2 linked regions of the Notamacropus eugenii genome follow. The protein of the gene in region 2 binds, or shares a complex with, the protein of the main gene of each other region. Links are inferred from orthologs where the notes say so. Each region holds a gene or a part of one and is shown on either strand. Other genes may lie near its edges.

The links.
Region 1: the proteins of PDS5B (region 2) and WAPL are in contact, whole or in part, in a crystal structure (PDB 5HDT), measured with the Homo sapiens proteins. The link is inferred for Notamacropus eugenii from reciprocal best matches to the Homo sapiens genes PDS5B and WAPL. Residues at the interface, in NP_055847.1 of Homo sapiens: Gln47, Phe88, Ala92, Pro93, Ala95, Trp137, Val138, Lys139, Ser140, Asn142, Ile143, Phe145, Glu146, Glu187, Gly188, Asp189; in NP_055860.1 of Homo sapiens: Lys7, Thr8, Tyr9, Ser10, Arg11.

What each region holds. Positions count from the first base shown.
Region 1 is NC_092872.1:253,006,558-253,022,338, forward strand, and holds the start of WAPL (wings apart-like protein homolog), read right to left. Parts: upstream 7,110-15,781; 5' UTR 6,860-7,109; intron 6,403-6,859; 5' UTR 6,340-6,402; coding exon 6,332-6,339; intron 6,302-6,331; exon of another isoform or gene 6,181-6,301; intron 4,505-6,180; coding exon 3,984-4,504; intron 1-3,983. UniProt on the Homo sapiens protein: Regulator of sister chromatid cohesion in mitosis which negatively regulates cohesin association with chromatin. Involved in both sister chromatid cohesion during interphase and sister-chromatid resolution during early stages of mitosis.
Region 2 is NC_092876.1:201,639,176-201,654,111, forward strand, and holds the start of PDS5B (sister chromatid cohesion protein PDS5 homolog B), read left to right. Parts: upstream 1-7,411; 5' UTR 7,412-7,538; intron 7,539-8,310; exon of another isoform or gene 8,311-8,329; intron 8,330-14,936. UniProt on the Homo sapiens protein: Regulator of sister chromatid cohesion in mitosis which may stabilize cohesin complex association with chromatin. May couple sister chromatid cohesion during mitosis to DNA replication.

The sequences.
Region 1 (15,781 bases), on a different chromosome or scaffold from region 2:
TATCCTTAAAGCAAAATACACCTCAAAGTTCACCAAGATTTAACTTCTGGGGAAGCAGTTTGATTTTTTACAAGCAGTCATTCAACACTATGGGTAAAGCAAGGCAAGGCAGATCCTTAGAAGTACAGAACTGCTTGCTAGTTCTTTGGTATCTCCCACAGTTCTGGGCAAGTTCTAGGAATTTAGTAGAAGTTGATTAATTGATCCCTTCTACATATTACAGAACTCCACGTACTCCACATATAAACTCTACGTTTATTTTCTTTACTTCAGAAAATCTTTCACAAGAAAAAAATTATCTAGTTTACAGCAGGGTGAATCTATTCATATTATTTGCCTTTTAAACTGTTACATTTATACTTTAAATTACTTTCATTTCATTGTCAAACAAAACAGAAACAATATTATTAAAGCTGACTTTAAAAAAAAACTTGTTAAATGATATTTTCATTAAAATTATTTAAGACTTTAACAGATCTAGAACAAATGCATTATTAGTCCCTTATTCAAGTTAATTTTGACTCTTACCTGGCAGCAGGACAAACTGTTTACTTACTGTGAAACAGTTTAAATAACAAATTATCAATTTAGTTTAGCAACGTAAAAATGCTAATAAAATAATTTTTTGTTACTGCTTTTGGCAAAATGTGTTCGATGGAAAAATCCTGTGCTTCCTGATAATGTATAGTCTTGATTTCTTGGTCTACTTTAAATTTGGCCAAGCTGAAAGAAAAGGCAGGCAGCTAATGAATATAAAGATCATTGGACAAAGAATCAAGAGTTCTTTCCTTTGAGGAGAGTGGGAGAAGACAGCAGCAGGGGAGGAGAGACTCACAGACCGAATAACCTTGGGCAAGTCACTGAACTTTGTTTTCTTATGAGTAAAATGGGAGAAGGGGAAGAGAAGAGAGTGGAATTTTTCATGTTAATCCAATTAATTACTATTAAATAAATATCTAAAACACTTTAAATTCAGTCTAAAAATTAACTCCTATCTATGTATTTGCCCAATTCCTCAATAAATGTTAATGATATGCTACCTCCTCTCCTTTGTGCATATACAAAGGTCTGGAACCTGAAATACCTGACAGAGACTGGCACATAATAAAAGCTTATTGACTGACTGATCTGACCTCAAGTTCCTAACCATACACTCCTTTACAAAGGAGTGAATTTGAATTCACTTAACTACTTTCCCAGCAGGGGCAGTAGTCACTAATAATAAGTCTGAATGAGCCTTTTCCAATGATTTGATTGGTCTGAATGAAGAAAACCCTATAGAATAATGTTATAATTGCCCTGCAATTCAAAGAACTTGTTACTGCCCATGCAGTTCCTGGAAAATATAACTCACTGCAACTAATTTCTAATGCCCTGAAGTCCTATTCTGATGAATCCTCATGACATAGAAATTACCTGTAGTTCTCAAAGGTTCTGACCCTCTTGTTGTTAGTTCATCAATCAACTAAGTTGAAAAAATTCCTCAATTAGATAAATGGGATAATTAAGCTTCTACTCTATACAAGCCACTGCAAATAAGACAAAAAGAAAGAACCTCTGCCCACATGAAGCTTATGTTCTACCGACGGATAACAATGTAAGTACAAGCTAATTATAGATTGGAGACAACACTAACACCTCAGAGAAGGAAGGCACTCCAGCACTGAAGCTCAGAAATGATAGACATAGAAAACACAGCTTGTTCAAAGGCACAGAGACAGGGGACAAAATGTTCAGGGAACAAACATAACACAGACTGGATGAAATGGAGGACAGACCCGGTAATGTTTTCAAAGTCAGGCTGAGCAGTTTGATAGTTTATCCTGGAGATAAAGTCAGCAATCACAGAAGGTTTCCGAGTAGGGAAGTGACAATTATTTTGCGTATGGAGGATGATTTCAGAGAAGATAGACTAGAAGTAAACCAGACAGATAAGAGATTAAGACAGGACTGAGACAGAATAAGAAAGAGACTTGGCAACTAGGTGAATACAGAAAGTGAGGGAGTGGTAACAGCAAAAGATAGCAGAGATTTCAAACCTGGGTTATTGAGAAGAGAGAGTAGTAGCGCCCTAAAGAGGTCTAGGGAAGTTTGATCAGGAGTGTTAGGGGAAAAGGGGGATAAGTTAATGAACTATTTTGGACAAGGTGCCTTTAAACTGTCAAATGGCCACCCAAATGGAGATGTCTAGGAGTCAGCTGGACATGTAGGACTAGAGTTTCGGAAATTCGGCTGGATGTCCATGTTTGGGAACAACCATTTGGACATGGTAACTGAACACATAAAAGATCAGATCACCAAGGAAGAGCATGTAGAAGAAAAAAGCCCAGAAGAAAACCCTGGGGAAAAAAGGAAGATATTCACTCTTAGGGCCTATCCAACAAAGGAGGTAGAAAAAAACTGTCTCTCAAATGCCAAGATGGATCAAGGAGGGAGAAGATTCAAAGTCAACTGGAGCAAAAGCTGCCCAAGTCAAGGGGAATTCAGATAAAGAAAAGACCAACATATTCTGCCAACTCAAAGAGATCCTAGAAAACCTCAGGAAAAGTAACCTGTAAAAGTCTGAGTTAGAAGGCAAGGGAAGTAGAGGCAGCACACATAGATCATTCCTTTTAGGAGACTGGCATCAAACAGGAGAAGAAAGGATGAAAGCCTAGGGGATAGCCAGGTCAAAAAGGTTAAGTGTGAGACCTGGGTATGTTTGTAGGCAAGGACTTCAAGTTTCCTAAATTAATTAGATTGGCCTGAAAACCTAACCATTATTGATGATCAGACCTCAAAGGGCACTTTGTTTACACATCCCTTATGCACTTTTTATTATACATCTGTGTACATGTCATACATATCCCTCTCCCAAATTCTGCATCTCCTCTGGCACATAACACAGCTCTGCCCACAGTTGGTGGCTTAATGAACACCCTTCTTGCATCTTTCTCTTCCCACCTCCACAACGTGGGAGTCAACGGAGCCCTCTCCTCGTCTCCTTGCTATAATCTCATTCTCTCCTTAAGCCACTATGGGAGTTGCCAAACCACTGCAACCTGCACCCTGCACCCAGTCTTCAGTATTTTACTCCCCCACACAAGGCTCGGGGTAACTATTAGTACTATTTCAGCTACATTATGGGTTAACTCAAGAATATTTAACTGTGAATCACAAACCTCTCTGTACTTGTTTCCTCTCCAGAAGAGGGCAAAAGGTAGGGGCAGTAGGGTTGATGAGATGAACCTTTAGGTCCTTTCCACCTATAAAATTCTATTTACTGGTTAATCTAGGAACCAAACTGCCACTGATAATAACACTGATCCTGGGAGGAAATATCTTTCAAGTTTCAAAATAACCAACCTGAAAATGAACTTTGGGAATATACTCTTTCATAACCTGGGCACTGACTGTCTTAACTATTAATCTCAGCCCCAAATCAAATCTCACCAAGAAACAGAGTAAAATACTAATTAGTTATGCTCAAGAAAACTACAAAAATATTAATTATGACTAATACTTGTTTTCTGGAGCCAAAACTGTAGCTTATTTAAACATTTTAAACTTGGGCTAATTCCACAATTTAAAATTCATGTTATTGTCACTACCAAACCATGTAACCCCACCAAATACTAGGTTTGACAAAAAAGGTATTTTATAAATATTATAACCTAGTCCACATTATCTGATTTACAGATATCCCAAAAGGTAGCCATCTGGAGCACACACAAAATGCTGTTCCATAGCAAAGGATTATCCATTTTACAAAAATAAAACTTTTTTCAAAGGCAACTGTTTTCCTCAAAATTCTGAAATTTATTTACAAAATTGACAGTTATTGCGGTCTTATTACCTATCCCCCATTTTTCAAAGTCAAACAAACGTTTTGGCTAAAGCAGGTCAATATTCTACATTAAATAAAAGTAAAGGGCATGCATACTTAGAAGGAGCTGTCTATGACAATTATAACCAACGCTTCCAAGTATGAAATAAAGACTCACCTTTAGTTATTAGTTTTGCACTACTTTTGTTTTCACCGTCTTCTAAGGTTCGGTTTGTGCTCTTTTCTTTTAAACCAAGGAAAGTACTCTCACAAGGTAAACACTTGCTCGACACAATAATGTCTTCCGTGATTGGTTGACTAATACAGCTGTTAGCTTCAAGTACAGAGGTGAAGTCACCCAGATGAGCAGCTTCACCAGGCTCCAACTGGGAGGAACTCTTAGCCTGGGCCACATTCTTTGAAGAAACTGGTAAAGATTCTTCATCACTATCAAATCCAAAAGGATCTTCTGAATTTTCATCTTCCACTTTAGGCTTCTTAGGAATTTCTGGGATATCTGGATTTAAATTAGGCCTCTTTTGGCCTAATTTGGCCATAAAGGTAGTCTCTCCCCACTTTGTACTAAGGGTGGTCCGTTTGTTGGAAAATACTTCATCAAATTTAGAGCTGCCATTTCCCCCTTTCCTGCTATATGTTTTCCCAAATCTGGATGTCATTTTGACACCTGTTTCATATTCTCTGTGGAAAAATCAAGAAAACATAACCAATATTGTAACCAAAAATTTAAACACCACATGTAAAATTAAGTTGCCAAACAAGTATGACTGACTACCTTACCACCTACGATAACAGAATTCATTAAAGCTCCAAACTGAACCAACAGTCAATGTACAGTACTCATTTATACATTACTTAAGTGTAATAATTAAAAAGCTTAAACTTTAGACACTCATCTTTTCAAAACAGAAAAGCATAAATAAAATGTAATTCAGTAGTATTTACCTTTCAGACATGTTAATGTTAGGTCATACATACTATATTTATAGATTCCTAAGCTTTTGCTTTTTAGACCAAAAAAAGAAAATATGGTACCACACTGAATCTAACGTACACTTCTATGCTAATTTCAAAAATGTTGGATCTCATGTTAACTTAGTTTGACTGAAGATACTGCTTTTGTATTTGATAAACTAGCGCAAGTCAAGTTCCTTAACATTAGTTCCATGGTCCATATTATAAATGTACAACTTTATTTTCTTTTTACTTTTTTATCTGTAAACTTCATGGATTCAGATTCATTCAGGTTTATTTATAGTAGACAAATATGTACTCAACAGAGAAGAAAAGACATGTTTGGAGAAACCTCTATCTTTATGCAAAGTCTCCAGAAAAAGATAAGATTACATTAACTAAAAGATTAATACTACGCAACAATATATGTGTCAACTAGTCTAAGGAATACTAGGAGAGGTTTCTACTCATAAGGAGCTTACATTCAATTGGGGGGAAGGAGGGAGAAGAGAGGAAAGGACCAGAGAGGAACACTGTGTACCCAAGGTGAAAATATACAAAGCAAAAGGGGGGGAGAGAAGACTTCATCTTTCTTTCATATTGTACATGACATGCATGTATTCTTTCACTAATAATCCCCTTCCACTTAACTGTGATGAAAACTTTTTTAAATTCACATTACTGAAATCACTGAAATTTTAATATAACAATAATTATAATCGACTCTTAGAGGGGCATAGTTTCACTGTACTGTAATTAATAAGCTTGAAAGAAATGGGCTATAAGCTACACGCAAAAAGCTTTCCCTAATTTTGAAATATCACAACAATGGTTTTTTGTATCAGAATTTGCCCCATGTTTCACTGAACTCCACAAATTTTTTTTTCCTAGGATGTACTAGGAATCACTGACAAACTGATCTTTTCGAGTATTCAGCAGGAATTTTTTCCGTAGGAGATATAAAACCCAATGATAAATTCCTAACGTTTACTATAACCTTTGGGAGTAGAAACAGGAGATATCTGTATCGCCTTGCGCTATAGAGTTTATTGGTAAATTTTGTGTTTTTCTTTCTTAGGCGTTATAAAACCAAAATGTTTTATTTAAGCAATTTGTCTATAAACAAGAGAACTTGGCCATTTCTATAGAAAAATGGAAATAAAACTGTGCACTTCTTCAGTGCAGGATACGTAGATACTTGGGATATTTCTCAACATGGCACACTGGGGAAGACTGTTGGACTGGAAATTCCTTGGATTTGGCTTTGAATCTTCTACTTCTACTCCTGTGGCTTTAAGCAAGTCAGCTGACCTCGGCGGGTCTCAGTTTCACCTCTTTCAAAAGAGGGGATTGGACTAAACCTCTCAGGTCCCTTCCTACTCCATGACCTAAAAAGTTAACACCTGAGAGTTTGCCAAAAGCAGGAACCCCGTGGACAATCTCATCTCGAGTGGAGCCTTTTCAGGTCTAAGCTGGAAGAGCTCGCCGAAGGCTGCGGGGCCGCCCCGACACCCCGAGGGTGGGCGGACAACTCCCAGTCACCATCTCACGTACATGTGCATAGGCGCGCGGGTCTCAACCTTTCACTCGGGCCTTCAGACACATTGGCAGCTCCTCCCAACAACCTGTCCGGGCCAGAGAGAAAGGGGCACTCAGTGACCCCGGCGCCTGGGGGCTCTTCCTCCCATACCCACTCCGCCCCGTCCGCCCCCCCCAGGTTTCTCCGGGGGTCCCGGCCTCCACACTTCTCTCCCATCGTCCCCTCCCCGAGGCGGCGCCCGAAGAACAGTGCCCCCTCCCTCCGTTCTCGGGGGCAGAAGCGGGTGCGCTGCCGGCGGCCGCCGTGCACTTGACCGAGAGGCGCTGGGGGGGGGGGGGGGGGAGGGAGGGAGGCGCCCCAGACTTGGCGGCCTCTCGGAAAGGGCCGGGAGTGGGGGGGAGGGCGGGCGAGAATCCAGACACTTCTCTTCGCCCGCCCGTTCCCCCAACTTCCTCCGGGTCGCGTCGCACCGGGCGCCCCGAGCCCCCTCCCGGGTCCCCGTCTCGGGCGGGGCCTAGCGGCCGCCACGGGACCTCACTTACCCTGGGCGCCGAGCGAGCGGGGTGGAGACTCCGAGCTCCGGCCGCCGCCGCCGCCTCACCTTCCCGGCGGCCCCCGGGCGGCGCAAGCCGGGCGGCCGCTGGGGCCCCGCGCGCGCGGGACGAGGGGGGGTTAGAAGGGGGGGCCGGAGGGTTGGCGCGCTCGAGATGGGAGACGGTTGACGCGCGAGGAAGAGGGGGCCGGGGGGGGGGAGGGGAAGAAGAAGAGTGCCGCCGCCGCTGCCCCGGCCGCCGCCGGCGTCTGCTCCGGGCCAAAAGGAGCCCGCAGGGAAGGGAGGAGCGGGAGAGGGGGAAGGGGGGGAGCGCCGGCGGCGGCTGCCCCGCAACTTCCCCCGCTGCCGCCGCCGCCGGCCCGGGCCTAGGCCGCCCCGTCCGCGTCGCCGGCGATGACTAGCTCCTCGCGCTGGGCCGCCGTCGCCGCCGCCGTCGCCCCCGCCTGCGCCGCCTCCTAGCCCGGTAAGTGGTCAGGGCTGGAGTTTGAGCAGGGCCCTGAACCATCTCAACGCCATTTGCGCTCCCCGGCTGGCCGCCCCCCTTCCTCCCCCAGCCGCCAGCTCCGTCACGGCGCTTCCCACAGGCCCCGCGCGGCCCCGGCCGCCGCAGCCAATCGCAGCGCCGGTCGGACAAACCGTCGCGCAGGCGCGTGGCGCCGCACGCGCGGGGGCCGCCATGGTCTCGGCCGCGAGGGCCGACGGGAAGTGTAGTTCCCGGCCACACTCCCTGGGCGGGGGCGGGGGTGAGCCACCGTGTTCGGAAGCAGTGAGTAGGAGGAAGGGCCGGGACTCGGTTGAGGCCAGGCGGGGACGGGGGTGGGCCCAGCGCCCTCGGAAGCTCCCGGCCGGGGGAGGGAGTGCAGAGGCTGGGACCGTGGCGGACGCCCTGGGTGTCGGTGGCTCGCCCTGCAGGGACCTGCCGCAGCCGGGGGACCCGGCGGCGCCCGCGAACTCCGACTGGGATGCACCGGCTTTCAGGCCCGGGTCTCGGTCAGGTAGGGGAACAAAATGTGCCCACCTGCTGGCACATTCAGTCCGGGTTCTTCCGAGCTACCAAAGAGGCTCGTGGAGCCCATGGTGCTGGAGCGAGCTTGGGGGCTACCCACCGCGCCCCCCCGGCGTCTCTGCTGTTTGTGCCCCTCTCTCCCTGCCTCTCTTTTGACTTGACCCTCGTAATGAGCCACAAAATGCAGCCTGGTGAAGATAGCACGAAAACATTTACGAATAGTCTATATGGAAGAAAGCAACCAAGAACCTTTTTCCTTTTCCTTTTCATTTTAAAGGATCAGAAAATTCTCAGTGCTCCCAGTGAGTCATTCTGGAAATTGACAGCTTCCAGCTACTGATGTCACCGATCCGTAGGGGATCAGGTAACTGGATCTGTTTTCTTTTCTATTCTTTCTCTCTCTCTCTCTCTCTCTCTCTCTCTCTCTCTCTCTCTCTCTCTCTCTGTCTCTGTCTCTGTCTCTCTGTCTCTCCCTCTCCCTCTCCCTCTCCCTCTCTCTCTCTCTCTTCCCCCCTCTCCCTCTCCCTCCTGCCCCCTCTCCCCCCCCCCAATTCTCTATGCTTAGGAACTCGTTGTGAAAACACATTGATTATTTGCTCGATACTTTTTTTGTGTATAAACCTTCAAAAACCTCATCAATGGAAAACTAAATTTATTTGACCCACTTGTACTTTACTGTGGAATTGCACTCATCTGGGCATAAGGAGACCTGGTTTCTAATTCCGCCTTCGCCTGTAGCTATCTGGGTGACCTTGAGTTACATGTTTTAGTGATCTGGGCCTCAGTTTGCTCATTTGAGACATAAGGGAATTGAGATGGATGATATGAGATTGCGTTTTCCGTCTAACAACTTTAACAATGTAATGGGTTTTTTTTTTAATTATCACTATATCATTTCTCTTCCCACATAAAGTTTAATAAAGATACCAAAATAAAACCACATTCATGACTTCTGCATCTATATGTCACCTTATTCTTGGGCAAGAGGGAGCTTTAATGGAGCTTTAGGTAATTACTTGGGAAATTAATAAGGTATTAGTTACCATTTTTCCTTAAGTCCTTCCATTCATATGCCTAAAGCTATAAATAGACTATGTTTATGAAGTACTTAAAGTGACTTTCTTCTAAAATCATAAGAAATAGTTTAAACAATATGTAGCCAGTATATTATGAGTCCATAGAAAACTGTTCCTATTCAAGGCATTGATGCTACTTAGCAGTTGAATGATTCAAGTACCACAGATGCATTATTGTAAGTATAGATAACTTGTAACTGAACTTTTGACCTGTACCCTTAAACTTCTGGGTACAGTATCTTTTTTATTTTTCCTTTTTAAAAGCCAACTCTATTGCATGTCCTGAATAGAAGTTAGATACAAACTATTCCTCAGGGTATAGCTCTGCAGGAGTGTTTTATCTGAGCCAGTTTTGCTCTAAAAAGTCAATGTGGGACCTTATTTTATAATTTTCTTTGAAGACTACTTGTTGGGGTACAGGCTCCACTTACTATAATTACTTAGATGATACAGTGGTGGTGCTAATTAAGGGGTAATTATCATCAGAAGCAAAAGCTAAGATCAAAAAGTCAAAAGGAGCAAGGAGATAATTGCAAGATTTTTTACCAAAGGTATATAAAGCTTGCTGTTAACCCTCTAAATTCAAAACTATGTAAATTCTTTATGGGGTAGGCCCAGTGGCTGTTGGGAAGGCCCTGGAGTTCAAAAACACTCCCGAGACCCCTTTCAGGTGTCTGTTTTCTCCCGGTTTTAAAATACTGAACTAATGATGTCAACTAAAATGAGCACTTCTGTATAGAGAATGGAGCTCTCCTGTAAGCTACTGTCATTCCGACCCAAATGTAACAGTCACATTTCTGCACTCATCCAGGTAACTTAGAACATGAACACTGCATTTAGGTCCTGGGATTTTCTTAACAAAAATAAACTTGCCCAGAGCCTTTGTGCCCTCTTCACTGACCTGTGGTCAAGCAAAAGACACCCACTACAACCTGGCTGTCCTCCCTGTGGCAGCCTTTGGGTTCCTTTGGTTAATTTCCATTTTCTTTGTTTCCCTAAACACTTCCATCTACATTTCAAGTGAACAAACTTCAGAAGCTGGAAATGCAGGACCAAATAGGGCCATGATTTTTCCTGTCTGGGGCCTGTCTCTCCAAGGAGAATTTATTCTAAGCAACTTGGAGAATAGGGACAGTCTCTTTAAACACCACCATCAGGACTCAATAAATACTTGTTGAAATTGAATTTTTCTTAATGATAAGGCTAGAAACAAGCCAAAGTATTTGTATTGTATTAGAAAATGTGATACTACAGGAGACCACCTTTCCTGTCTTCAGAGGAGCGTTAGTGCCTCCTGCCCCCAACTAGACTTTTGAGAAGGAAAGTCCCAAGTGAATTTACAATTACACTTTGATTATAGCTTTCAGATAATATCCCTGAGGAAAATAATAATGGCTGTGAGGTGTACTGCTTATGTCGTCCTCCCTTAATCTAGCAGATGGTTACAAATTGAAGTTCAGGAGAAATATATTTTTCATTTGTAAGAACTTTTTAAAGGAAAATAACTTAAAAGTTACTTGAGAGAAGTACAAAGGAACAAACATTTAAATACTTACTATGTGCCCTGTGGGCTAAGGGCTTTTAAAAAAAAAAAGCCTCAGGATCAGAAGGGACCTTTTTTAAAAAGAGATTTGTAAAGCTCTTTGCTTTACAATAAAAAATGCATAGCAGAAAACCAGGAGACCCCAATTTGGTATTTTCAGTTAAGAAAATCCAGAAATGAGATTATAAAGAAATCTTTTGGAAACTGTAAGAAAGACATCAGTAAGAAAGCAGCTGATAAGCTTTTGTTGTTCTTATTCTTAGTTTAGTATTTCCTGGGGGGGGGGGGGGGGGAAGGAGGTCATTTTGGGTGGCTTCATATGTGTTGTGGGGTTTTTTAGTGCAGTGCCTGGCATGTCGGTACATAATAAATGTTATTTGGTGAATTTCTTTTTCTTGGTATAGAGAGGATTTTTTCTTACTTTCCCATTTCAGAAGGTGGGGATCCCTAGAACATACCTCAGTGACCTTACCTTTCATGAAAATTTGAATAAACTCCCAAAGACATTCTTTTAGGAGTATATTACTATCTCATTAGTCTCAAGTGTAGGTGGAGGAAAGACAAAATGTGGTTGGGGAGTCGATCTAACAAAGAAGGATACTTACATCTGAGATTCTAGGAGTGTTAGAGAAAGACCCTGAAAGTTGGGGCCTTTCCAGGCCTGGATATTCAGTAGGCTGGGCTACTGAGTCAGAGGAAGCCCAGTGGAACTTTCACCTTGAGTGCTGTTTCCTTTTCTAGCCAATCACTTCCCAAGTCCTGTGGCTGTCAGCCCTGAAACGTCTCTGGCCTCCTATCTTCCTGTTTCTTCTGCCACCACCTTTGTGCAGGCCTTGCTGGAAAATTGCTATAGCTACCAGGCCTTCCTGCAGACTTGCCCTCCTTCAGTTCCTCCTCCCTGCTGCTCCCGACTTACCTTATGAATAGATCTGGTTAGATTCCCTCACTTAGTAAGACCTTTTTCTCAGACCCTCTTGTCTTCCAAAGGAAGTTTAAAGTCCCTTGTCTGGCATAGGATTACCATGGGATTTAGACCCCATAGGGTTCTTAACATCTTTAGAGATGAGGAAATTGAGGCACAGGGAGGAAATAACTAAGCCAGGTCCTTTGAAGTCCCTGTGAACTCCCCAATTCAGTGCTCCAAGCTCCACCATCCAATGCCCTTGGAGCTGTAAGGCACCTAAGAAGTCACCCAACCCAAGGCCTTCAGTTTACAGGCAGGAGGTCAAAGGCATCATGATCTTATTTTGGGGAACAAAAGTGAAAGTCTGGTGCCATACAACATGGAATAGAGTTCACATGTTAAAAAGCTATTTTTTTTTATTAATCCCACAATCACAAACGATTTATCTTTTCATTTTAAAAACCTATAAATCTCCCTCTGCTCACCTAAAAAAGCTATCAATTTCCCTTCAATTCTGACAAAATCAAGTGATCTGGAATTCTTTTTACTGAAGGAAAATGCCCAGCCTTGTCATTCCAGGCCTGCATTCTGGTCACACATGACTTTTCAACTTCGGTTTCATCTCATTTCCCTCTGGGCACTACCTCTCCAGCCCAGCTGACCTGTTCCCTGTACATATATTTACCTCTCTTCCTTTGTTCTTGCAGTTTCCTGTGCTTGAAATGCCTTGTCCTCCGTCCTTTCTCGCATCTCTGGAATTCCCCCATCTTTTAAAAGATCTACCCTTTTGGTAGATGCTGCAGCCTCCACAAAGCCTTTCCCCATCCCCCTTACTGATAGTGTCTTCCCCATCAGAATGGAGACTTATCTCCATTACATCTTGTTTTTACAGTTATGTGCATATTATCTTTCCCCTATTAGATTGTAAGCTTCTTCTAAGCAGGAACTGTTTTTTTTTTCATTTTCTTTGTACCCCCTGGGCTTAACCAGAACTTGACACATTTCACTCCTCAAACTTTATGTTACTTTATACCTCACTTTATACCTTCATCAGTGGGTGTCATGTCCCTTTTATTAGCCTATAAGCTCCTTGAGGGCAGAGGCAGAATTGGTGCTGAATTTGGTGTTAAATTTAGTCATTCTCTAGATTAATAAGCATGGGTACCCTCGGAGTTTTCATTTCAGGCATAGACTGGACTCTGGTCCAGTCCAACTCAGACATCCTTCAGACAAGAATAAGCAGATAGGAATAAATACTCAAAAAGGAAACCTGGGCACTGCCAGGATCCAGGCCCCAGGAGGTAGAGGGCAGAAGTGATAAAGGAGAGAGAGGAGGTGAATCTATGGTACTGGACTATGAGGGAGGGGAGAGGAGGAGACACCATAGGGGAGCCATGTTGAGGTTCAGGGTGCCTGGGATCCCAAAATACTGACACTGGGTCGTGCTCGAATGAATTTGACTCAAGCCTTCTTTCAGCCAAAATAAAACAGTTTATTAAAGATTCACCATATTGGGTTGACTCTTTAGGAGCCTAAGTATTTATAATGTTTGTATTAACAAGCAGGACAGATAGAATCTCAGCTAGACAGAGTCTGAATTGGATTGAATCTGAGCACCTTCATGGAGGCTGGTCCTAATGGTAGTGGTCAGTAGCCTGGGGTGTCTAAAGGTCTTGATGGGAATGACCAGTACCTTAGGGTGAATAAAGATCAAATCTAGGGAGGAATCTTGATGGGAGTGGCCAGTAGCCTGGAGAATGGGATTTTGATAGGATCAAGGGTGGGAAGTATAACAGAGATTTGAGCATAGTGGTAATGAAAAACCTATGGACCTCCTGAGACTGCCAGATTTAGTGGGAAGATTCAAGGAAGTTCCCAGACTCTGGGGGAGGGGAGAGGAGGTGACTATGAGGGAGGTTGGGGGGGTAACCTCATAGGTCATCCCTTGTTGTGAAAGCAAGCTCTACAGTTGAATGTGGGAGACTCCTCTGCCAAGATGATCAGGTTGCAGGTATGTTGATTTAATGGTAGAAGATTTTTCTGTGGTGAATGTGTCTGTACAAGGACCACAAAGGAAATAAATGCTCATTAGATTTACAAAGGGCTCAGTAGACATTCCTCTCCTTTCTTGATAAAAACCGCCATGTGGAGCTTCCTGCCCAAAGGAGCTTTGGATTGGGCTCAGAACCCCGACCTAGAGCTTTCTGGATGACCGAAGCCAGTCAAGCCCCTGCTGTGAACCTTAAGTTCTTCCTCATTTGACCTCACTCACAGAATTATTTCAGTGAAGGATAGTATAAGGCTGAATGTTAGCTAATGCCTTTTTTGTGACGGAGAGATCTAGTGACCCAGCTGGAGAGGCAGTGTGGAGGAAAATGGTCCCTAGATGCATCAATGCAATGGCTGGTCATTAGAATCCAAATAGGATTTAGGGAATTTACCTGGTGACCTCTCCTGAGGACTATGGTCAGGGATCCCTATCATTTTGGGACAGCCAATGAGGTCAGGGCCACTTCCTAGCCCTGCTAGGCTTTAAATCCTATGGACTCTCAGATTGTGAGTTTGGGATTTGGAGTCAGAAAAAGCTGGGCTCAAATCCCACTTCAGCTACTTACTAGCTGTATGGCCTTTCTGCTTCCTCTTCTGTAAGGGGGGGGAGGGGTCCAGGAGTTTGGACCCAGTGGTCTCTAAGGCCCCATTTCAGCCCTAAATAGCCAGTTCTATGAACTGCACTGCCCTTCTGGTCAAATATTTTGATTTTTGTTTGTTGTGTCCTGGGAGGCCTGTACACCCTTCACAGGAACATCCCTTTTTTGCAGGCAGGAGTCTGTGTGCATACAAGGCCGCCTATTCAAAGAGCAGCCTAGCCAAGTTTTCTTGCTCGTAACAGGCACCTGCTGTTTTTTTCTCTCTTCTCACTCAGTACCTCGGGCCTTTGACAACTAGCCACAGTCTCTTGGGGGCCTTTCTCAGTCGACCACTTCGTGCCCTTGCACTGTGCACCCCCATGGCAGCCTCTTGGTCCAGCTCCTCCCCACAGGCAAACTCAGGCCCGACAAGTATCATGAGCACCCTGGACAGAGAGACCTCCCTCCAGAATCCTGCTCCCTGGGTCACTGTTTCATTATGGATGAGTGTTGGCCTCCAGGGCTGAAAGATGATAGATAGGTCTCCTGGTGAATTTTCCCAGCTTGAGGCCAGTCCTCTCAGAACAATAACATGAAAGTCCCCAAGCTGAAGGATTTGGTTGATTTACAAATTCTGAATTCGGGGCAGGGGGGACGACTTAAATCTCAGTGGGACAAACCTACTTGTGGCCACCCTCTTTCACTCATCCCTCCCCCATACATGGGTACACGCTTGTGTACTGGTGAAAACCTAGACTCTGGCTAGGGTCCCTGTGGTCATGAATAGTGTATGCCTTGGCAGTGAGACTTTGGCCCAGTAGTTAGTACCCTCCAAACCTTCTGTAGTTAGTTTCTGCTTATTCTCTACTTAATGATTTCCTCCATCCCCCCCCCACCCTTATTCTCCCACTACAGGAAGCTGGTGGCATTGTGGATGGAACTCTGAGCCTGAAGTCCGGAAGACTTGGCCTTAGACACTGGTCATCCGTGTGACCTCAGGCTAGTCTGTTTGCCTTAGTTTCCACAGCTGCAGCATGGAGATGATGTTTGTAAACACACATATGCAAACCCACTTATTGCAGTGCTGGTACATTGTTGTTCAGTCATTTAGACAAGTCCAACTGTAGGTCAGACCTTGTGACCATGGCATGCTAATACTGTCTGTGTTTTCTTAGCAAAGAGACTGGAATGGTTAGCCATTTCTTTCTCCAGTAAGTTAAGGTAGACAGAGGTTAAGCGAATTGCCAAATTTGAACCCAGATCTTCCTGACTCCAGTGCTCTATCCATCAAGCACATAGTAGGATCTGTATAAATGCTTATCCATCCATCCCCTCAACCTGACAAGAATTTAAGCTCCTTTAGGGTAGGGACTATCTCAATTTTCTATCTGTATTCCTAGCAGCTAATGAGAAGCTGATACCTAGAGCTACTTAATGAGTGCTTGGTTATACATTGGTTATACATTGGTTATAAATTCTCATACTGCAGAGAACAGATTAAGCTTAGTCTCCAGAGGGAAAATGGAAGCACCCCACTGTAAGAGTCCGAAAGGTTGAAGGATTTAGTATCACAGTAGAATTAGGGATTCATCAATATGTCTATATGTATATGATATACAATAACTATAATAATAACTAGTAATTTTATGGCATGTTGAGTTTTTACAAAGTGCTTTACATGTATTGGATCATTTGATTCTCACAATAACCCTGGGAAGTGGAGGCTATTATTTTCCCCATTTTACAGATGAGAAA
Region 2 (14,936 bases):
AGTTGCTTTAGCTATTGCAAATAGTAATTTATAGCCAGCTTCCCCAGAGGCTTGTTCATCATAGTGGTTTGTTTTGTATGACTCCTAAGGGAATCCAAGAAGACTTTATGAAGTCTGTATGACTGTTTAAGTCAGTCTGTGTCTCCCTACAACCCTGTACCCTCTCCCCGCTCCTCCCTCCCCACTTTGCAAACTGCCTGTACAGAGAAGTTTCACTCATTGGATTATAAGTGAGAAGTGCTTTACAATTATTATCTCATTTGATCCTCATTTGTTATGAACTAGCATGCCAAAAAGAGCATAAGCAACCAATACCTAGAAAGTCTGGATCAATAGATAATTGTAATTGATGATTAATATAATTAAATGAATAAATACTCACCTCCCTGGAAGCATCATCATCATCATCACCAATATCACTAGACTTTATACAGCACTTTAAGGTCTGCAAAGCACTTCACATGTTATCTTATTTGAGCCTCATAACAACGCTGGGAGGTAGGTGTTATTATTAATTCCATTTTACAGATGTGGAAACTGAGATAAGAAGAGGTTAAGTGACTTTCCCAGGTCACATAGCTAGTAAATGTCTGAGGCACAATCTGAACTCAGATATTCCAGGTTCCAAGTCCGATGTACTATTGGCTATACCACTTGGCTACCTTGATTTTTGATCTGTGACTCACTTAAAAAAAAAAAAGGTGATTCCTATCTTAAGCACATTTTCAAATGTGACCCACTATTTTAAAAAATGAATATTCCTAGTTTAAACAAGTAAATGCAGTTTATTTTGGAGATCCTCACCTTCCTTAACAGCCCTTCTTATCCCCTACCCCCAAATTCAGACACACTAAGAATCACTACATTTGTATAGTTTGTACAGTTATCTCTGCAATGTTAACTTATTGGAGCCTCACAACACAACCCTATGGGATAAGTACAGCCAGTATTATTATCTTCATTTTAAGCATGAAAAAACAGAGGCTGAGAAATGTTAAATGATTTGCTAATAGATACACAGCTAGTAAGGATGGGAAGTAGAATGCAAAGTCAGGTGTTCTCGACTTCCAATCTTATATGTTATCTCCTTATTCAATTGTCCATCTGTATGTGCACACTTGCATGTATATACTGTATCAGTAAACACCCCAACATACGCAGGGGGACCTGCTATCACAGATTCTTAAATCTGCATTCATAAAAGGAAAGGTAACTTTTGAGGGGTTAACAATCACTTTAATCAAGCACGTATATCTTTCCTTTAACCAAACACATATATCATTCACCTAGTTCAGGGGAGTCAGCACCCTGAACGTCAAAGAAAATACAGAGAAATCAAAGATCAACAGACATGGCTTCCTTTGCTGAATTCAACAGACAGTTGGACCCCAACTGTCTGACCATAGTTACCAGAGAGGGAAGCACGACATCTGGGTATTCAAAGCTGGGGACTCCTTAAAGTGACTTCCCAGAGTCCTCTTCTGGCACTCAAATCTTCTTACAGAAACTAAGCTTGAAAGTAAAAGCTCACCTTTTTTAGAGTATTTGTACACTTTTAAGAGCCAGAGTATTTATGCACTTTTATATACTTTTTAATACACTTTTTAGTATTTATACACTTTTTGGAGCCAGAGGGCATAACCCTCTGACTCAGAGCCTCAAGAGAAAAAACAAAAAGTACTTGGGACCCTTCTATAAAACAACTCCTCTAATCAAGCTTCCCACAATGGGCAGGTCCATTAATGGATGGGAAAGGTCTTCTTTAATCACATTATTCAATCAGAGGTACTTTTAGTAAAACAAAAACAGTAAAAGATCCTAATTTGATTGCCATCACATATACATATATGTACACATACATATATGCACATGTATACACACATTCGTATATACACAAGCAGTTTTGCGTGCACACACACATATGTGCATTGCATGTATGCAAACATAAGTGCATAGACATGTATGCACACATGCATATGTGTATATACATATAGGCACACACATACAGGGAAACACTTATAATGCATATATATGTGTATGTGTGTATATATGTATATGCATGTATATGTGTGTATATATATATATGTAAATATATACATATAGACACAGCCTCTTTTTTTTTTATCCCCAAAGTGCATAGTGCCTGGCACAGAATAATCGAGGTTAATAAATACTTGTTGGTTGACTGACTGATTGCTTTCTGCCACTAGAATACTTGGTTTTTACTAAGGTATTAGGGTTTAATATCCCCAGGAATATTTTTAAAGAACCATACAGTGAGCCCAAAGCTTAACACAAAGTAGAAAATCACCAAGGAAAGAATTTTAGGTACCCGTAGGGGAGGTATTTTTGTATGGAGGGACCTTCCTGTTATATCCTAATCATATAATGTTGGTGACTCAGTTTGGTCTCTTGCTTAGAAGAAATGGTCTACTTTCCCACTTAGTATGAATTTTAAGGGCATTCAGAAGACCCCAATGCTTCCTGTTCATTAACCTCCAAAAATTATCAACTGCTTCCTTTTGCTTACTGATTCTTGACATTCTCATTCCCTCAGACCCCTGTTCTTTACCAATGTTTTAGGGTGCAAATAAATTAATTTCACTTGATTAGATAAAAGCTACATTTTAATAAAGGTCTTTAGAAGATAACTTCAACCAGAGAAGTTTGTTTAATGTGAATAGTGGAGCTCTGGAGCTACTGGGTAGGGGGTGCATTTCTGGGGAGAGAGGAGTCTTTGGCTTACCCTGAATAACCTACAAAGATGGCTTCTTCTGAGTAGGGGTAGCCAGTCTTCCTTAGACATAAGTAAGCCAGATAACATAGTTATAATCCAGTATATGTGCAATCTTTTCTTACATGGGTTCCCTTGTTCCTCCCAGATCCTGGCCAAGATAGAATATTTTTATTCCTCTAATTTTTCTACTGTTTCTATAATGTTGCATTTATTCACAGTCTACTTTAGCTATTGCTTACATCTTTAGTTTTTTTGTGACTAATACTATTTTCATAAATATGATATAAAAAACCCCACAACAATAACAACATTCCTGGTACAAGGTTCTGTTTATTTTGTCAGCCAGGAAATAACCTATTTCCAAGTGATACCAGTTAAAATTCCAGACTTTCCAGAAATAATTTTGTTGTTAACCATCTCTAGAGATGGTTTCTTCCAAGTACTGAGGAATTTTGAGGGTCACCCAGTGTTACAGGGTTACTTGGGTGATACTTCCTAGCAGTGATACTGTAGGGGATGTTGCTATGGGGGTCTGCAGGAGGTAGGGAGGGGAGGTCAGTTTCAAGATAATCTTAGTTTTGGGGAAACAAGAGGCCAGAAGGCAGGTTTTGTACTGAGTAGATGAAATCCAAGAAGAGGTTGTCAAACATAGATCCCAGGAAGGGCCAGAAGTAACATGTTATTCTATCTATCTTAGCAATCCATTTGGCAACAAAAATTCAGCAGGCTCTGAGGGAGCAAGGAGAATCAAAAGCTTGTGACCAAAGTGAGAATCAGAAAGCTGGATGATAGCCAGATCTAAACTTGAGCAAAGAGTTCCTCTGATTTCTCAGTCACAGAGGGGATCTGGCCTAGGGTGTTTTAGGGGGAAATGCTAGGTCTACAAGCCTAATCTTCTGTATAAATGGAAGCCATATCCTTTCCCCCCTATGCTTCTACTTCAAGAAGTGTTATGTATAAAGTTCAGACAACCTGAAGATCCAGATGGGTGAGAGGTAGACATAGGTCGTTCCATATTGTAGCTGTCATGTGGCCTTTCATGGCTGGAGATAATTCTACTAACCATGTTCTCTCTGTTTTTTTTACCCTGCTCACACAAATTCTCTGATTTGACAGTGTAGACACTGTTTGTAGAAACTTATGCTATTTGTGATGTTCAGGCCATACATCTCCACTGAGTGAGTTATTTAGAGGGTTTATTTGTCCTTTTTATATGTGTTAAATGATACATTTAACAGGGTAGATCATGCTGCTTGCCCATTACTTTAGACCTAAACGCTGAACAGACCACTGAAAAGTTTGAATGTTTCAATTTTAAACAACATATCATAACTTTGCTGCTTATTATATAATCTTGGCAAATCAGTTAATTTCTCTGGGTCAATTTCTTTAATGGTTAATTGGGAGTAATAATCATTACATTATTGACCTCATGGGGTTGTTGGGAGAAGCAAATGAGATAATGTATGTAAAACTTCTTGTAAATCTTAAAGCAGAACATATATTTCAGCTATTATTTTTGTGCTGTCACTTCAGCTCTGGAATACTATTTTTCATTTCTATTCATCCATTTGATACTGTCTGTCAATGAGTTCATTGGTATTGGTGATCATTACTTGGTGATTCTGGTCATATAGTTCAATGAGATGTTGCCCCTATAACAATTCTAGGTCTCAGCACTTCATACAACATTAGACTCTACCATTTTAATGCTAGGTAGCGAGTTTAATAATTTTTTAATTTTTTTAATTATTAATTTATTTGTTCTCAGTTTTCTACAATCACTTCCATAAGTCTTAGATTTCTCCCCTGCCCACCCTGCTCCCTTCCCAAGATAGCATGCAATCTTATATGGGTTCTACACATACATTCTTATTAAACACATTTTCATATTAGTCATGTTGCATAGAAGAATTAAAATGAATGGGAGAAATCATGAGAAAAACCTAAACAAAACAAAACATAACACAAGAGAAAATATTCTACTTCATTCTGTGTTCCAATTCCATAGTTGTTTCTCTGGATGTGGATGGTGTTTTGCCTCGAGTCCTTTGGGAAAGTTTTAGGTCCTTGAATTGCTGTGAAGGGCTAAGTCTACCAGAAAAATTCCTTGCACTCAGTTTAGTGTTGCCAATGTTCCAAGATATTCAGTGTTTCTGAATTCAATTCTCTACTTTTTTAGTTGATCATTTGTTTTTTAATGGTCCTTATGGTTCTGAAAAATAAAATTTTCTCTGAGTAATAATTCTATTTTTTTTTTTTGCACAAGATTCTACTAGGGCTAAGCTCTTTTTACTTCCCTCCACCTTGACTTGCCAGAGATTTGCATTTTACTGTATATTGTGAAAACTATGAAAGGTCTTAAGATCACTTTAGGGCTTGAGGAAACATGATGTAAGTTTGAAGGACTGTGGAGTAGTCAGATCTTTTCTTCACTTGAAATAACTGTATAGCAAAGTATGTTTAATTCACATTTTGGAACTTCAGGAAGATATATTGTTCACTGAAGTCAGAGGAGATGGTAATTTATAGTTTTAGTTTCAGCACACTGTCATGACAATGTTTTGTGAAAGCGGAATGTTATGTTGTTTTATCCTACTATGATAAATTAGTTTGCATAGCAACATAACCTCATCAAGTGTTGGTATAGCCTACAAAATGTGGTAATCTGAACTTATATATTTATAATTTATATATATTATAAATATATTTATATATTTATATTATACACATTGCAATTTGACTTTTCTTATCCAATTCAACAAGCAATTATTAAATGCCTATTATGTGTGTGGAATTGTGCTGGGTGCTGGTGATACCTTTATTCTGGGAATAAAACTCTTTTGAAAGTGCACTCATACAGGAAAAAAAAATCTCATCAGCTCTGGGTTGTTGGCAGTGGCGGCTGAGGTGACAGATGAATGTATTGGTACTCAAGTAACTTTGGTAAGTCCAGAGCCTGATCACATTCTTGGGGTTCCTGCTTTCTAAGGGGGACAGCACCGCCTAGATAGGATAAGACTAAGGGAGAAATCATTCCAAGGGAAGTGAGAAAAGTCCTGGAAAGCTGGGAGGACCTCTCCTCTCTATCTGGAATCAAGAATAATGCTTCCCATACAATGATAACAGTCGTAATAGTAATAGCATTCATATGTCATTTTAAGGGATGCAAAGCACTTTACACGTATTATATCTTTTGATCCTCGCAACAACCCTGCAAGTTGAGGTACTATTTTTATCTTTGTTTTATAGTTGAGGAAACGGAGGCTTTGAGAGGTTAAGAATCTGAAGTAATAGACATAGATTTTTTTTCTGATTCCAAGTCCAGCACTGACTAGATTGCACCATCTAGTGGCCTCTCCGAGCCTGATTTCTGTGGAGAGAATTCGTGTCCCGTACTATTTCTATTGAAACAAAGTTTCTAAAAAGTGTCATCATAACGCATTCTCTTCATATGTATTATGTATAATATATATACACACGTGATATATACGCATACATACACACATACATATATGTCTGCCTATCTGTCTGTCTATCTAATCTATCTTTCTACCTACCTACCTTTCTATCATCTATCTATCTATTATCTATCTGTCTATTATCTATCTATCTATCTATCTATTATCTATCTGTCTATTATCTATCTATCTGTCTATTATCTATCTATCTGTCTATTATCTATCTATCTATCTATCTATCTATCTATCTATCTATCTATCTATCTATCTATCTATCTACCTATCTACCTTTCTATCTGTCTGTCTGTCTATCTATCTGTCTATCATGTGACATTGGCCATTACCAGAATGGAAAGGGCAGTGGGATTTACTTTTGTAAGAAGGCATAGAGAAAGTGAGGCCATAAGCAATATAAAAAAAAACAGAGAAAAGTGCGGAAGAGGAAACAGCAGTTTTGTGATAATCTCGATAAAGGCTCTTATGAAGAACCATATAACAAAGTTCGGAGTCCAATCCAATGAACATTAACGCAGCGCCCATTCTGCGTCCCTGTCCTCAAAGGGCTCTCAATCCAAAGGGGAAGGAAGATAACACAAAAGGTGGAGAGGGTATAAAGAGGACGATCACCTTGCTTATTTTTTTCTAGACTGAAATGCGCGTTGAGGACCGTGTAAAACAAACCACCACCTACAACAAAAAAAAGAAGCGAAAATACACCGTGTAGAATTGCTAATTTTGGAAGGTACTTCAGATTGGATCAAAGTTCCCGTCTAAGTGCAAAGCGAGCAGACCACGGAATACTGCCAAATCTCCCTTTCCAGAAGAAAACTCATTCTAGTTTCTTATCTTCGGCTCCCAAAACGCAGAGGTCGGCTCGCTATCTGCTTCTTTTCCTAAGAGACGCCAAAGACACCGAAGCTGCGGGTTGATTGGCAGCTGCCGTGTGGGCGGGCGCGTGCTTGGAGCGCGCACCGCGGAGCGCGCGGGCGCGTGCTTGGAGCGCGCACCCCGGAGCGCGCGGGCGCGGTTGGCCGGGGAGGCGGGTCGGGCGGTTGAGCGACACCCGGTCTGGCTGGTCTGCTGGTCGGTCGGCAGGGGGCGCTGCGCCCCCGCGCCGCGCTCCGCCTGCCCCTGGGTGCTCTCCGCCGCGGTTCGATTGGAGCTGCCGCCGGAGAACGCTTGGCGCCATTTTGAAGCGGAGAGGAGGAGGAACGGCCGGGCTAGCTGCGGAAGGGGAGGGGAGGGGGGAGGAGGAGGCGATTGGATGCGGCGGCGGCGGCGGCGGCGGCGGATCCCGGAGAGCGGCGGAGTGAGAGGAGCAGCGAGCCCGGCAGCCGGAGGTAGGAAACAATTCAATTAACGGGAGAAAGGTCTCTTCTTGCCCGCCCGGGCGCTCCATTTTCCCGCGGCCGGCGGTGTGTGTGCCTTTGGCGGGGGCTGAAGCGCCGCCCGCCCGCCCTGCAGTAGCCGCGGCCGTCCTGCCTCCGGCTCGGCTCGCCTCGGACTCGAGGGCTGAGCAGCCCCTTGGCCGGGAGGTGTCTCGTTCTCCGGGCGGGGGAGGGAGCGGGGGCCAGGACCTCCTGCACCCCCCTCGGACCCCCTGCACCGACTCCGGCGCACACACACGCGCACACGCGTGCGCGCGCCGCTGGCTTGATCCACGGCTTCTAAGAAATTAAACTTGCCGCCTTCCTCCGGGCGGGGCGGCCGCGGGGCCGGGTGACCTTGGCGGCGGGGGCCGAGGGGCAGCCCGGGGTTCCAGCCGCCCCCTTCCCGCGCCTCCCCTCCCCCCGCTCCCCGGTGGCCGCCGCCGGCCTGGGCTCGGGCTCGGGCTGTTTCGCGGACCGCAGGCGGGCGGCGCGGTTCTCCTGTTGAATCCTCTGGCGGGTTTTTTTTTTCTCCTTTCCGGGGGTGGGGTGGGAGGGGGAGGGAAGAGCCTGCGCTGCGAAAGCTGGGGGGCCGCAGCGTCCTCGCTTGGCCCCTCTCCAGGCGCCCCCGCAGGCTCCCCCTGAGCCCCACGAGCCCGGGGTTTCCCCTTTGCCCCCACGTCGTCTCAGCCTTTGCTCTGGGCGAGGAGAAAAGGATACAATGTGTCCGTTTGCTGTCTACTGTAACTTGTCAGTCACCGGAGGTAAATCTCACCGGCCGCCGGGAGGCTGTGGGGAGGGGCAGCCTGGGATCGAATGGAGGAGGACTGGGGCTCACTCTAAATTACTGCACCCTGGTGACAGTTGGGTTTGGTCTGAGCCTCAGGGAGCCTTGCAGTGTGAACCGGAATGAGCGCTGGCAGAACTGCGGAATAATCAGAGATTGTTGCACCTCCGCGGCTGGTTTTGGTCTCCCTTGTGCACACTTCAAAAAGTTTCTGGTTGCGGGGCATGCCTCGTATTTTAATTCTTCGGGACATGCATTAAACTTCTTGTTTTAAATATAGTTATTTAAGTGTATGAATTTGAGCCATGAGGTGTAAACCTGCACCGCACTGTACTGCATTACTTAACGAGATGCCGTGAGTTCAGTGCGGGTTTGAATCAGGAGAAAGGGATATCTGCATAGCACTTGAGCGTAATCCAAACCCTTAAGCAGGAGTTAACATTAGAAAATATATTTTGAAGGGAAGCCCTCTGAAAGTGCCTTTATTTTTGTCGGTTCGTTTTATTTCATTTCTACTCTTTTTCATGAAATATGTTAGTGGGCTGTGTTTTCTGCTTTGCCGTAGTGTTTATGAAATGCATGCCGAGGTCTCTGTGATGGATCTTTTCTACATTTAAGAATATTTTTGCTGTATAACATCCTATATTCTCTTCCCAAGTAAAGGTAACCCTTAAAAATCTGTTGATAGTTTATTAGAAGAGACAGAGTATAAAAATTTTTTGAATTTTGCTATTTAAATTTTGAGTGGCATTCTAAATAACGTGCTTGTTTAACAAACCTAGATGTAGGTTTGAATGGATTTTCTATCTGAACCAAGTAATCTACCAAATAAGAAAGTTAACATAGCATACAACACAAATCAGAATTAAGGTTTACATGAACACATTTTGGTCTTGGCACCCTACAGTACACATTTCACATGAGATTGACATGACTAAGGACAATAAGCCTTCCCTCAGGTATATGAGTTGTCCAAGGGCAAGTTCAACCTCTAACTTATGTTACTTTTAGTCATTTAGTCAGCGTGTTAACATGCTCAGTCTTATTTTCGTTATCAGCACAGAACTTACTTAAAATGTGTTGCTTGTGAAACAAGTAGTTAAAACTCTAAATTGTAATGGTTTGATTTCTGGATTTCAAAATTAAATTTTTTCTGAGGAATTCTATGAGTAATGAAAACATCTTAGAAACATAAGTAGTTCATTTAAAAAAATGAACTAATAAGATGCTCATTTGAACACTTAAGTATATATATGTGTGTGTGTGTGTGTGATTTCAGAAATGTTTATGTCTGCAGAAATACCAAATGTACATTTAAACTTTTTTTTTAACTTTTATACTTTTTGTTGTACTATTTCATTTCTTTGTGGATCTGAATTATGTTCTTTTTTAAAAAATAAAATTTTCTCGTCTTCAGCCTTTATTTTGTTCTTTCTCCATTGTGGTTATCTCCTTAGCTCATCCTTTTAATTCTAGTATTCAGATTCTTCTTCCTCCCCTTTTTTTTACACCCCTTTCTTCTTTTTCTCATTTTTCTTATAAGTAGAGGAAATGTTGGTGTTGAGGTTAAGGATACTTGCTGTCATGAGAAGTCATGTGATCAAGCTTGCTTGTTTAAAAATATGATTTGCCACTATGAGTTGACTCCTGGAAAAAAAAAGTAGGTTTGTGTTTTGAGATTATTCTGTAGAATTGATTTAAAATAATCCTTTTAGACTATGGAATTATCAAGCAATTTATTATGTCTGAGGAGGAAGTGATATCTTTCATTACTCAAGTTACTCTCTTGAGAACTGTGATGTGATGGAATTATGTCTAAAACTGAGAAAACAGAATTGTTCACTGCTTTCATTTGATGCAAAGGGTCTTTAGAATTTTTTGAGTTGTGATTTTTTGGGAAGGACTATCATCTGATTTGTGGAAATAGCATTGAGAAGACAATTATTTGCTTTTTTAAAAAATATGTTCCTCTTGTTAGAAAATAAGCAAATTTCAGCGATTGGTACTAGCTGTATGAATATTTATAAACATGGTATAGCTTTGTAGGATTATAAATTTTAGTGCTGCAAGAGAACTTAAATTCAACTATGTACATTCAACTCCTTTGATTTTGAAAATGAGGAAACTGATGCCTCAGGTTAAAGTACCCTCTACCAGATATAGGGTGATGGAACCTGCACTCCATGGAGTTCAGGTCTTGACTCCTTGTCCAGTGGGTACTCCCATTTAATTCTTAGTTTGTGTGGGGGAGTGAGCCAGAGCCTGAACATAGGGTTCTTTGTGTGGCAGTAAGTTATTTCTTTCTTAGGCCACAAAATCAGCCAAGAAGTAGCATTTCAAAGTAAACTACCAGATGTTCCTTTGCTTAATCTAGTTTTGACAGCTTCTTTTGAGGTTGTGTGTAGTTACCTGCTTCTGAAAATGTCTGTTTGCTTTTGTTTGGTTTTAAGCTGCTTGTTTTTTCATGGTGTAAATTTCCTTATATATGATATTAATTTTTATTTCTGAAACTTAAAATTTGGAAAATTTAATGTTATTTTAAAAATTCAAGTTTGTATACATTTTTTTCTTAATTTTCAGTCTGCTCCAGAGTCAATATCCATCATAGGGTTTCAGATATTTAGAAAAGTTTGTGTTTTATCTTGCATCCTATTGTAGGGTAGAGAGAGAGAATGAATTTCAGTATTATCACTGAGAGTGAATTTATCTTTTAATTTTCAATTAGAGGCTACCAAATAGTTTGCAGTTTCATTTGGGAGGAATGTTAAGGACCAATTCTTTGCCTAAAATATAGGCAAGTTAGTTATACAAGTCTTTTTACAAATGTTGCCCTGGTGACAGTAGGCTACTACTATATTTTTGTCTCTTGTTACCAATTTAAGATTAAGAATTAGTGTGTTTTCACTGCTGCTTTGAGATCAAGTCTCTTTAATATCATTGTCAGTGATTGATCATATTGTGTGACCAACATACTGAAGACTGAGTATATATCAGCAGAATTTAGTTAGCATTATAATGAAGTTAAACTTAAGAATTTACCTGACACATTTAATGATAAGCAACAATTGTTATGCTGCTTAATAAATGACTAATATTACTCTTACAAGTCAAATCAAGCATTTTTAGAATAATGTGGCAGGAGGGAGAGGGAAAGTGGAAAGGGAAGCTCTTTCAGCAAAACCCAGAATCTTGTAACCCACGTGAGCTCAAATAATCTAGAACTTTTTCTGTCAATGTTACTGGCCTGGGTATTTTGACAAGATCTTTTGCTCCTGAAGATTGGGAGCCAGGGACTCTTATTGCATTTTTCTTAGTGGTAGTGGGGGGTGGTTGTTCTTTCTGTGTTATTAAGGAATGATAATTAGTTAAGACAGCTTAGAGAGTAGACCAGTGATCCAGACTCTTCCTCATTGTAGAATGGGAAGAAGAAAGTACAATTTGTGGTTCTGGAGCCAGGAGGAAGTAAGTCTCTCTTGTTTCTATGACTGACTGACTTTAGGTTAATTTATCTAAAGCCAGTTTGCATAATCTGATCCCTTAGAAATGATATTTCTAATAAATACTTAAGTTTTCAGCGTTTCATATATGATGGTAGGTAGGTGGATAGAGGTCTGGGCCAGAAGTCAGGAACACCTGAATTCAAATGAGGCCACTGACAACTTACTAGTTGTGTGACCTTTGACAAATCACTTAACCTCTGTTTGTCTCAGTTTCTTCAACTGTAAAATGGGTATAATAACAGCACCCACCTCCCTGGGTTGTTGTCAAGATCTTCCCAGGTTTTTATGAAACCATGCTGTTTGTCATTTATTATAGCATAATAGTATTACATCACAATTATATACCACAACTTGTTTGGCCATTTCCCAGTTGATAGGCATCCCCTCAGTTTACAGTTCTTTGCCACCACAAAAAGAGCTGCTGTGTTTTTGGACAAATAAGTCTTTTTCCCTTTTCTTTGATCTTTTTGGGATACAGACCTAGTAGTGGTATTGTTGTGTTAAAGAGTATGCGCAGTTTTATAGCCCTTTGGCCATAGTTCCAAATTGTTCTTCAGAATGGTTAGACTAGTTCATAACTCCACCAACAGTACATTAGTGTCTCCGTTTTTTAACATCCTCGCCAACGTTTGTCATTTTCTTTTGTTATCATGGTAGCCAATCTGATAGGTGATTTCTCAGAGTGGTTTTAATTTGTATTTCTCTAATCAGTAATTTAGAGCATTTTTTCATGTGCCTGTTGGTAACTGTAAATTTCATATTTATTTTTAAAAAGTATCAAATCAAAGACAATCAGGCTGATGTGATGTAGTGAGTAGAATACTGGACTTTGCAGACGGGGAGACTTGGATTCAGATCCTATATATTACCTCTGACACTAGCTATGTGACTATGTCAAGTCACTTTTCCTCTTTGATCACTGGCACCTCCCTAAGACTTTTTGGTAAAAATTATTTTATTTGTTTTCAGGTTTCTACCATCACTTTCATATATCTTAGATTTTTTTCCCCTTCCTTCCCCATTTCCCCTTAACCTGCCAAGGCATAGGCAGTTGCTGTATGTTGGTGGACTATCTTCCCACACCAAGGAAATCACAGATCTTTGTCATATTATTGATATATTTACCAAATAATAGCATTTTGTATACTATAGGGCAGTTGTAACCCCTTTTAAGCAATTATACCTCCTTCAGCTTTTTAAAAAACTAACTTTGTGCGGCAACTAGATAGCACAGTGAGTATCAATCAGCCTTAGGGTCAGGAGGACCTGTGTTCAAATTCAGGCTCAGACATTTACTAGCTTTGTGACCTTGGGCAAGTCATCTAACCCTAATTACCACCCAACCCCACAAATACAACTGCCTTTGTGCATTTTATTGATTTGTTAAACAAATTAGTGATACTCAGTGTTGATTTCTGTAACCATCCTTTGACAATAAAAGTCAAGAGAATAAGATAATTATGCTGAAAGCATTTTGAACTCTCTTAATTTTTATGACATTGAAATCATGATGATAGAGGATTTCAAATATTAATTAACATGTAGAATCTAATGTTATTAACAAAAGTCATTATAAATATTTGCGTTTGCACTTAAGGCTTCAGACTTTCTGAACAGCATTGATAATTTACTAGAAAGGAGAAAGGCAGTATGGTATATCGTGGATAAGAATGCTGGACTTAGACCCAGGAAGACCTGGGTTCAAATCCCACCTCAGACACTTATTATGTATCTGACTCTGGGCAAGCCACTTAACCTTTCTAGGGTTCAGTTTCATCATTTGTAAAATAAGGAGGTCAGCCTTGTGCTGTTGTAAGGTCCCTTTTAGTTCAAGTCTTTGACCCTATTAGCCTATGATAAATGGGGGAAAGCTACTTGTCCATTGATCTTTGTTCTCTCTACACTTGAGAGTACTGTCAGACTTCCAGAGGCTCGGATAGAGATGGTGGATAGCTGCTGCTTAGAATTCAGGATGCTAAATTTCAGTGATGGTTTTTATCCTTAGCTGTCAGTGAAGCATACCACTATTTGTAGCAGTTTTACCTTGTTGTGTAAATAGTGGTGAAGGATGTATTAGGCAACAGTCTGCATGCCCAATCTATGTGTACTTCACATAGTCCATATGAGACGATACTTCTTCTGGTAAAGGATGTTCCAGCTATAGCTTTGAGACAAAGGCAAGGTACAAACAGTGAAGTTCTCATGATTTTGTGTGTGTGTGTGTGTGTGTGTGCGCGTGTGTGCTTGTGTGTATGTGCTTGTATTCTCCAAATACGATGGCAGAAGTGGAAGGAATATCCTCTCTGAGTTGATAGTAGCTGATTTTAGAAATTTAAATAGTAATCAGAATAATATCTTGACTATGGTTGACCTACCTAAAAAAAATAACACATCTTAGCTAAAGTAATATGTGGAAGAGTTAGAGGAAGGGATTGTTGTTGATTGGGGTATTTGAGAGAAAAACCATTTTAACATCTAGGAAGATGTTTGTAATGATTTAAGTTGCTGAGAATGCAACATAGTGCAGAGGAAAGAAACCCAATCATGGAGTCAGTGTACCTGGAACCTAGCTAGTCCCTATGTGACTTTTGACAAGTCTGATCTCTCATACTCTTTATCTGTAAAAAGGAGGGGTGATAATTGTTGTACTGGCCCTCTTACAGGACAGATGAGGGAAAAGTGTTTGGTAAACTATAAAGCTACTAAATAAATAAATAAATATATGCTGACATGACTGTATCTGTGCTGCTGCAGCCTTCAAAGTTAGTGTCAGAAAAAATTTATTGTTTATGTGAAGAGTATAATTTCTAAAGTATAGTGCAAATTGTAGTGGATGCACAAATTCATGTGAATTGTGGGTTGAATACAGCCTGTTGCTATAAATTTAAAAGCAGAGTATAATTACACCTGTTTGTGGATCCAAGGGAAGGATTTTAGACCCAACTGAGTATATAGGAAGTCTAAATCAAAGCTTCCTAGTAAGTCCTATATGAATTGGCCAACCAAGATTCATTATTCCTACTAATCAATTAACAAGCATTAAGTACCTACTTTGTCTTAGATACTGGGGATACAAGAATATAA